Coturnix japonica: one gene and its partner. The protein of the gene in region 2 interacts with the protein of the main gene of each other region in a biochemical or structural test. Links are inferred from orthologs where the notes say so. Each region holds a gene or a part of one and is shown on either strand. Other genes may lie near its edges. The genes, in order: NFYA and ZHX1.

What was found.
Region 1: the proteins of ZHX1 (region 2) and NFYA form a complex in vitro, tested with the Homo sapiens proteins (2 studies listed by BioGRID). The link is inferred for Coturnix japonica from reciprocal best matches to the Homo sapiens genes ZHX1 and NFYA.

The regions. Positions count from the first base shown.
Region 1 is NC_029541.1:4,499,867-4,504,455, reverse strand, and holds the start of NFYA (nuclear transcription factor Y subunit alpha), read right to left. Parts: upstream 3,059-4,589; 5' UTR 2,833-3,058; intron 1,677-2,832; 5' UTR 1,630-1,676; coding exon 1,555-1,629; intron 504-1,554; coding exon 417-503; intron 1-416. Other genes in the region: ADP-ribose glycohydrolase OARD1, read left to right, coding at 3,415-3,508, 3,760-3,821, 4,197-4,341, 4,474-4,532. UniProt on the Homo sapiens protein: Component of the sequence-specific heterotrimeric transcription factor (NF-Y) which specifically recognizes a 5'-CCAAT-3' box motif found in the promoters of its target genes.
Region 2 is NC_029517.1:124,385,016-124,389,511, reverse strand, and holds the start of ZHX1 (zinc fingers and homeoboxes protein 1), read left to right. Parts: upstream 1-1,534; 5' UTR 1,535-1,749; coding exon 1,750-4,374; 3' UTR 4,375-4,496. UniProt on the Homo sapiens protein: Acts as a transcriptional repressor. Increases DNMT3B-mediated repressive transcriptional activity when DNMT3B is tethered to DNA. May link molecule between DNMT3B and other co-repressor proteins.

The DNA of each region.
Region 1 (4,589 bases), on a different chromosome or scaffold from region 2:
TTTCTCTCTTCATGCTGGTGGGTCACCCCCTACCTCTCTATCTCCTTTCATGTAGGAATGAAACCTGCAGAACTACTCACACTGAGTATCAGAAATGTAATCTTGGAAGTACAGAAAATCTTTAAGCTGTATCTCTTTAAAGCTGTGTCTCTTGACTTCATGATCTCGGTGAGTTTCTTCCCTTTTGACTCCCATTTCATCCACTATTTGCTTTCTGAATTACAACAGCTGGAATTCATGAATGCACCTGTGATCCAATGAAAAGCTATAACCTGATGGGAAGCCTCACATCAAGCACACAGTATTGGCCAACAATTTTCCCATCCCTATTTGAAACCCTGTAAAAAACACAGCATTAGATATGTGGTGATGGAGAGTCATGCAGTGCTCACAAACACAATTAGAGAGGTCACCACTACCTGGAGGGTCTGGACTTGCTGGCCTGAGGCGGATGCCACCTGGGCCTCAGTCTGCAGCTGGACAGCAGTGACACCACCCTGCTGCTGGGAACAGGAACAGGAAGAGCTTGAAACAGGGAAATGCACAGCTCACACCAGACACAACCACACTTTGCTGACGAGGATGAATTTTACAATTCACATACGCTGCTCTTGGAACACACAGAACGTGAGTTAACGAATCTAAGGGCGGAATGCTGGCAAATCTGCACATCACACTGATGAGCTTCAACATTCCAAACACAAGTTGGTTACAAAACACAGGAGAGGTCATTTTGCAGGAACTAAATTCTCTGCTGCTGTCTGTGTGCTCCATGTTTCCTTGCACTGCTCAGACGTCTTGTGAAAGGCTTCCAAAATTGCGACTTGTTGGTTACAACAAGTACCACACGTTCCTTCCTGCAAGGAAGAGTCTGCTGTGCTGCTGAGTTCATCTGTGTCATCCCTCCATCTATGTCTTCCCACCACTGACCTTGAAGGACGATCTTGAGATGTTGCAAGAGCAGTTCAATCTAAAAGCCTCGTCTATCTTTAGCCTCCTTAGTAAGAGTCCCAAAATAATCAATGATAACCGTGTTAGCATTTTGAGAGACGAAGGGCGGCCTCTCTCCTGAAGGCTTTACAACTGGCTTCAAGTGGAAAAAATCACTTAGAAAAACATTTCACACGCAGCAAATCACCGTGTTTGGGAGCACGTACTTAAAATGAAACAGGTCAGTGAATGTGTTCACCTCTATTACTTTGAAGATACCAATAACATCAAATACATCTTTGGTTACCTGCTGGAATCAGTGTGAGTGGATGAAACTTAACTGAAAACCTACAAGCCTTAAAACCGAACCCAAACCAGCCAAACAACTTGTGTGTTCCAACACATAAACTCGATCTGTCTGGCACGGATGAACTCCTCCAAAGCTACATGCTTAGTGGTCCTGGCTTTTAGTCATTTTTTGCAATTCTTGTGCTCATTTTGATTTCTTGTAGTGACAGAACTCAGGTAAACTCAGAGGGGATCACAGAGTGTCCCGCTGGTTCTTTGCAACTGTGAAGGTCTGTAACCCACCAACAGCAGCTCGACCATTGTAACTGCCCATACCTGCTGCTGGATCTGCCCCGCCTGCACAACGATCTGCTCTGTGGAGCTGTTGCTGTTGGCTGTGTACTGCTCCATCCCGCTTCAGTTCCAAGGCTGACCAAGGCACAGCGCAGTCTGTGGACCTGGCAAGAAAGGAGAAAAAAACCCACGTGATTATTGTCCCAATGTCTGAAGGTTGTTGTGACCTACAGCAGCTGAAAAGCAAAGCACCTGCTAACATGGAGGTAGTGCCTTGAGCACACTCTGATTAACAGCCATGGTCTAATTGCAGCCCTTCCTTTGTTAATGTCACCTGACTTCAGAACAGAAAACAAAGCTTAGATATAAAATATAATGTAAGAATTGAGACTCTGGGTCAGAACTTTGATGCAGTGATACTAAGCCTGGACATCAGTGATAGCCTGAGTCGCAGCAAAGGAAGGCCCTGCACTCTGATGCAGCATCAGCCCCATCCGTGCTCACTTAGCAATGGTTTCTCACTGCCTACCAGAAGATGCTTTATTCTCTTCCCTCTGCAGATGCTGCTGCCTATCAAAGCCTCCATTTGAATTCTGCACAGCATATTTAATTGCTACCATCGCTGCCTGTGGGCCCAGCAGGAAGCAGCTCATTCTGCAGGGAAGCTGCTCAGTAACAAGCACAGGACACCACTAAGCTCTATCTGCAACATCTCCCAGCACCAAATCACAAATTAAAGGATGCTTCTATTGGAAAGTGTTTTCTCTTGTGTCAGGCCTGTCTCTATAACATAAGGTAGCACTGAATCCAGGTGTGCAGGTTGTGGCTGGGAGCTGAACGTTTCACATGTGCAGATCGCAGCCCTCCAAGGGATCCCTTCATTGAAATAAAGCACTAGTGTTACTCTATCAAAGCAGGATCCCAAAGCTCAGCCTTATGGTTCAGTGTGTGCTCCCCCACAGCTCATCCCACAGCTCCAGCTGCCCGCACCGAGCACTATTGTGCTCCATGTTGGCCGTGTCCCCGCTGTGTGTACCCGGTGTGTGCTGTATCAGCGGGTCGGCCCGTTTCACCCGTTCCATGTGTTATGTGTCACCGTGTGGTGCTGCTCTCCCGTCTCGAGGGCGGGGCGCTGCCTCCCGCGGTCCCGCAGCCCCGCACGGAGCCCGGCCCCAAGCAGCGGCCCCGGCCTGGCCGCCTCCTCCTCCTCCATCCCTCGGCCCAACGATCGTTGCTCTCTCCGCCCGTTCCTTCTCTCCGCCCGTTTCCCCCCGTTCCCCCTCGGCCCCGTCCCCTGGTTCCCCCCCAGCCCGGCCCTACACGCGGCCTCCTGACTGGTCACTGTGTCCCGCCAATCCCGGCGCTGGTTCCGCCGCTCGGTTGCTCCATATTGGCTGCTCGCACTCACCGTGCCTCGCTCCCCCGGTTCGGGTCCCGCGCTGATTGGCTCCGCTACCGGACCCCGAAACCCAATCAGCGCCCGCACTCGCCCGCCGCGTTAAAATGGCGCCCAACCCCGAACAAAGGCAGGGGAGGGGGCGGGCGCGGGCGGCGCATGCGCAGTGTGCCGCTCGCTCCGGATGGCCCCGCCCACCCGCGGCCCGCCCGCCCGCGCACAATGCGCATGCGCACAAAGGGGTGCGAGTGCCTCGCGGGGCCGCCAACGCCCGCACTGCGCACGCGCCGCCGCGGCTCCGCCCTCATCCCGTCACGTGATCTGTAGGTTCCGCCTCTGAGGGTCTCGCGCATGCGCCCTCGGGCGGTAGGTTGGTCTGCGGAATGTTCTCGGCGGGTACCATAGAGGCGGCGTTCCTCCAGGCTGCCTAGAGGGGCTGGGTAGCGGGTGGTGGTGGCGGCCATTTTGACGTGACGCCGCAGTGTGGCAGTGGAGGTGACGGAGCGATGCGGGCCGTGCTGGGCCGGCTCACCAGGCTGGCCGGGCTCACCGCCGTGCAGGCCCGGGCTGGGCGGCCCGTCGTTCACGTCGTGCCCGCGGGTGGGCCGTGTGTGCTGAGGGGGCCTACAGCGGGCTGGGGTGGCCTGGAGAGCAACACGTGGCCTGTGGGCTCTGGCCGGGCCTACCTTGTGGGACACTGGGGCCCTGCTTCCCCTTATCGTTCTTCCCCCATATCGGCTGTATTGTCGGCTCTAACCCTGCTGGGTGAAGGCCCAGCCCTGCGCACACACGGCCTCGTTCCCAGCCCGTGGTTTCCATTAACTCTGTTCTTCTCTCCGCCATCTTTCCAGCCGCAGGAGCCTTCACAGCCCGCACCACCATGGCCACCCACGTCCAGGAGCAGGGCGAGCGAGTGCGTAGTACATAATACAAGGGTTCTATGGGCTGCTGCTGTGTGTGCTGGGACATCCCTGCCTCATATTGGCAGCAGATTGGACCATGTAGCTTTTGGGACAGATAATAAAGTGCTGTTGGGCTTATATCAGTGATGCTGTTACTTGGCATCAGCACAGAGCTCAGGTGTTGAAGTGTCTGGCAGTGTGTGGTGCTGGCATAGCTGCAGTGTGCTTCTCATATATCTGATCCTGTAAAAGATATCACTATATTGAGTTTATAATCTACATATTAAACGCACTACCAAATAGATAGCATTGTACAGACTGGTTTAACATGGATGTTCTGTTATCGTGGCCAGCACTCAGCTTTCACACCTGTGTTTGCTTTCTAGATCAAGTGTGTTAAAGGAGACCTGTTTTCCTGCCCCCCAACGGACGCGTTGGCTCATTGCATCAGTGAGGACTGTCGGATGGGTGCAGGCATCGCTGTCCTGTTTAAGAAGAAGTTTGGAGGCGTCCAAGAGCTGTTAGATCAACGTGAGTAATTTTGTACCATCGTGGGATTTTAAGGACTAAGATTTCCAGCTTTGAAGGTTGCTACCAGGGTTTCAGGGTCAGTTGCACAGCAGGACTGTAACTGTTCCTAAAATAGCACCTTTTTCCCTTTAGAAAAGAAGACTGGGGAGGTGGCAGTTCTCCAAAGAGATGACCGGTATATTTACTACCTGGTAAGAGTAGAGAATGACTCAAATGCTCCCCTGTAACAAGGCTGTATTAGATATTAC
Region 2 (4,496 bases):
TATCTACCAGCGCTGTCAGTGTCCTTAATGCTGTGTAATCATACCCTTGGCATAAGCAGCCCGTTGTGCCAGGCTGTGCACAGAAGTAGTACAGATAGATTTGGAGGATCACTTACAGACATTTGGTGAGGATTTTGCAGATGACTGTGGTGATGTGCAGTCTCAAAAATCAGCTTACAGAGCAGTGCTGTGTGATAGCTGTGGATGAACGCTAATGTCTTTGGCCTGAAGAAAAAATGTGTGAGGTTAAGAACAGCATCTGCTGTCCACGTTATCAAAATTAAAGATTGTGTTTGGAGCAGAAATGGTATTTTTTTCCCTTTCTCACTTCTTTACTCTTCTTTTGACACTGCTTTCTTTTAAGATTCTGTCATGAGCAAAGCTGTCTTTCTGTTTTTAACCTGTTACATGCTGTTACCTTTATAAACCTTCTGAAACAGCTGCTTGAGTCTTCCTTTTGCACTTGAGCATGCCATTGCTCTGGGAAGTAGGTGATGTTCTGCTATATAAAAATTCATGAATCTATGGGATTTCTGGCTTGAGCAATCAGTGTCTCATTTTGTTTTAAGAAGGAAACTGTTACAGAGTTTATAACCCTTTTCAGTAGCTTGTGCATCATTTCCAATAGACTAGTTGTGGTCCCCATGGGATAACAGCTCACTCCACTCTGGGCAATTTAAGAACATATTTATTCTCTGAATTTATGTAGGCCTCAAATTTAATTTGTACTTCAGTAGTTTTTTTCTTATAAATGAAGTAGGAATTCTGAATAGAAAATATATAATTTTCTTTGGCTTCTGCCTACTGTGTCACTCTTTAATGCCTTTTCTCTAGTGAAGTTTGCATGGTCAGTCTTGTCCCCATTAATGCACGGAGCTATGAAAACAATGTAGTTAATTACCACATGCTAACAATTTATTGGTCTGGGATTGGCCTTCAATTGGAGAATGACATCTGGGGAGCTAGGAAGAGAGGTCTGCCATCCCTGTCTTGTGGAGTGCCTTAACAAGGCGTTGTTTCGTCTCTTTTCAAACTTGGGAGAAATGACCCAGGGCATGCATACATGTATGTACATAATGCAGTAGAAAAATATGCTAAGCGTTCATTTTCTAGGAGCCTTCACACCCTTGGGCATAGCAGACAAGACCATCACGGGGATGCCATGCTGAGTTTGTGATGGGAAGGACTTGAGCTTCTATTGCAGCTGAAAGAGTGTTGTAGCCTAGATAAAGCAGTCCAAGGGTAAGACTGCCAAAATTTGTAGGGAAACAGAAGATTATATTTTCTGTGCCATTCTCTGTCTTATGCCTTTTGTTGCATTCATTGCATAAATTTGAGCTGATAATAAGTAAGTTGGAATTTGCCTTTCTTACTCTAGCCTTGAGGATCAGTCTCTTCTTGGAATGGGTCTGCTGGTTTCAGGGGTGAACAGTGGCAGATTGAACACCAAAGGGTTGAATTAAATCATACTGTGTGTCAGAATAGAAGATACTCTTTAAATTGAACTAATTATACTGTCTCTTCTTTGCTACAGGTGGTGGATGTGGACTTTAAAACAGTGTCTCAACATTTCATCCTCAACTGTCTCTTTTTAATCTGATTGCACTACAAAAGAAAAGCTGCTAATGGGATAAATGTTGAGACGTTACAAGAACTGACTTGAAGTACCAAAAGCCATTATTATTAATCAAGAAGAGCTTGAAGCTAAGTCTGTATCTGACCAGTCAGTATCACTTTCACCTAACAGGCATGGCAAGTAAACGAAAATCAACAACACCGTGCATGGTCTTGGCCAACGAGCAAGATCCGGATCTCGAAATGGTATCAGACTTGGAGGAAGGACCACCTGTAGTCAAGCCAGCAGATAATAATCCTACAGCAGAGAGCATAGCAAGCGAAGAGGATGTCCATGAGAACGTGGATTCAGACAATCAGAAAAATACAAATAAAGTAGAAGGTGGTTATGAGTGTAAATACTGTTCTTTTCAGACTCCAGATCTCAATATGTTTACTTTCCATGTGGACTCAGAACATCCCAATGTAGTATTAAATTCATCCTATGTCTGTGTAGAATGCAATTTTCTCACCAAAAGATACGATGCTCTCTCAGAACATAATTTGAAGTATCACCCTGGAGAGGAGAATTTTAAGTTGACCATGGTGAAACGTAATAATCAGACAATCTTTGAACAAACAGTAAATGATCTCACTTTTGATGGGAGTTTTGTTAGAGAAGAAAATGCTGAACAGGCTGACCCTTCTGAGCCCCCCTCCGCTGGGATCTCCATTAGCAAAACTCCTATTATGAAAATGATGAAAAACAAAACTGAGACTAAACGCATTGCTGTTTTCCACAATGTAGTCGATGGCATTCCTGGTGAAGAGAAGGGAAAGGAAAATGAGCCAAACTCTGAAGAAGTAGTAGAAAACCCACCACTGGCAGTTTCTGAGTCCAAAGCGAGCCATTCGGTTGCTTGCAGTGCGGCCGATGTAGCTAGTACGGTTGTGACCCCAGTGATTCAGCCTGGGGTGGCACAGGTTATAACGGCTGTTACAGCTCCACAGAACTCAAACCTGATCCCCAAAGTCCTGATACCTGTAAACAGCATTCCAACCTATAATACTGCTTTGGACAACAATCCTCTTTTGCTCAACACCTATAACAAATTCCCATATCCAACCATGTCAGAGATCACTGTTCTTTCCACTCAAGCTAAGTACACCGAGGAACAGATTAAAATCTGGTTTTCTGCCCAGCGTCTGAAACATGGTGTGAGCTGGACACCAGAGGAAGTGGAGGAAGCAAGGAGGAAACAATTTAATGGCACAGTGCATACTGTGCCACAGACAATTACCGTTATTCCAGCGCATATTTCCGCTGCCAGCAATGGTTTACCTTCAATTTTACAGACATGCCAAATAGTTGGTCAGCCAGGACTTGTTCTCACTCAAGTTGCAGGTGCAAATACGTTACCAGTAACAGCCCCAATAGCTTTGACTGTAGCAGGAGTCCCAAACCAAACCCAGTTACAGAAGAGTCAGATTCACACTGCTCAGCCTATTGCAGAAACCAAACAAGTTGCTGCCGTTCCAGCCCCTCAGCCTATCAAAAATGAAACCGCACACATGAATCCCGATAACTTTGGCATGCGAGCAAAAAAAACAAAGGAGCAACTGGCAGAATTAAAGGTCAGCTACCTTAAAAATCAGTTTCCTCAGGATTCAGAAATTAGTAGACTTATGAAAATAACAGGCCTGACTAAGGGAGAGATCAAGAAGTGGTTCAGCGATACACGCTACAATCAGAGAAACTCAAAGAATAACCATGGGATCCATCTCAACAGTGACTCATGTGCCACCATCATTATTGACTCCAGTGACGAAATGAATGAGTCTCCAACAGGAGTTGTTCCACAGAACAAGTCGTCCTGGAGTGCATTTCCTGACTTCACCCCACAGAAATTCAAAGAGAAGACAGCCGAGCAGTTGCAAGTCCTCCAAGCAAGTTTTCTTAATAATCCTGTCCTTACTGATGAAGAGATGAATAGGTTAAGAGCCCAAACCAAACTTACCAGGAGAGAGATTGATGCCTGGTTTACAGAAAGAAGGAAATCTACTGTCTTAAAGGAGGAGGGGACTGAGATGAATGAGAGCAATGCCAGCAGCTCAAAAGAGGAAGCTGCGGGAGAAACATCTGTGGGAGATGGAGCAGCAGGGTCAAAATCAGGGAGCACCGCTTCAAGCAAAGTAGGCAAAAAATCACCAGAGCAGTTGCACATGCTTAAAAGTTCTTTTGTCCGTACTCAGTGGCCATCTCCACAGGAGTACAACAAGCTGGCAGAAGAAACGGGGCTCCCGAGATCAGAAATTGTGAGTTGGTTTGGAGATACTCGCTATGCCTGGAAAAATGGGGGATTGAAGTGGTATTATTACTACCAGAGTGCCAATGCAAACAGTCTGAATGGCCAAGGCTTTTCAAGGAAGAGAGGGAGAGGAAGACCAAAGGGGCGGGGAAGAGGGAGGCCTCGAGGGAGGCCTCGGGGAAGCAAGAGGTTAAATTGCTGGGACCGAGGTGTGTCTGTCATAAAATTCAAAACTGGAACAGCAATCTTGAAGGACTACTATATGAAGCACAAATTCCTTAATGAGCAAGACCTTGATGAACTCGTAGCTAAATCTCACATGGGGTATGAGCAGGTCAGAGAGTGGTTTGCAGAAAGGCAGAGAAGATTAGAACTCGGAATAGAGCTGTTTGAGGAAAACGAGGAGGAAGATGAAATGCTGGAAGATCAGGAAGATGAAGAGGAAACGGATGATAGTGATACTTGGGAACCCCCACGACATGTTAAGCGTAAACTTTCAAAATCAGATTGATGTGCAGTTTGGAATCTGGGAGCCAAAAACCTGTGAGTTAGGTTTGATGTTATGGTGAAGAGCCAAACAATTTTTCATGGCCTTCAGCTTCAGCAAGCACCTGCTTAGCATCTTCGTTGCAC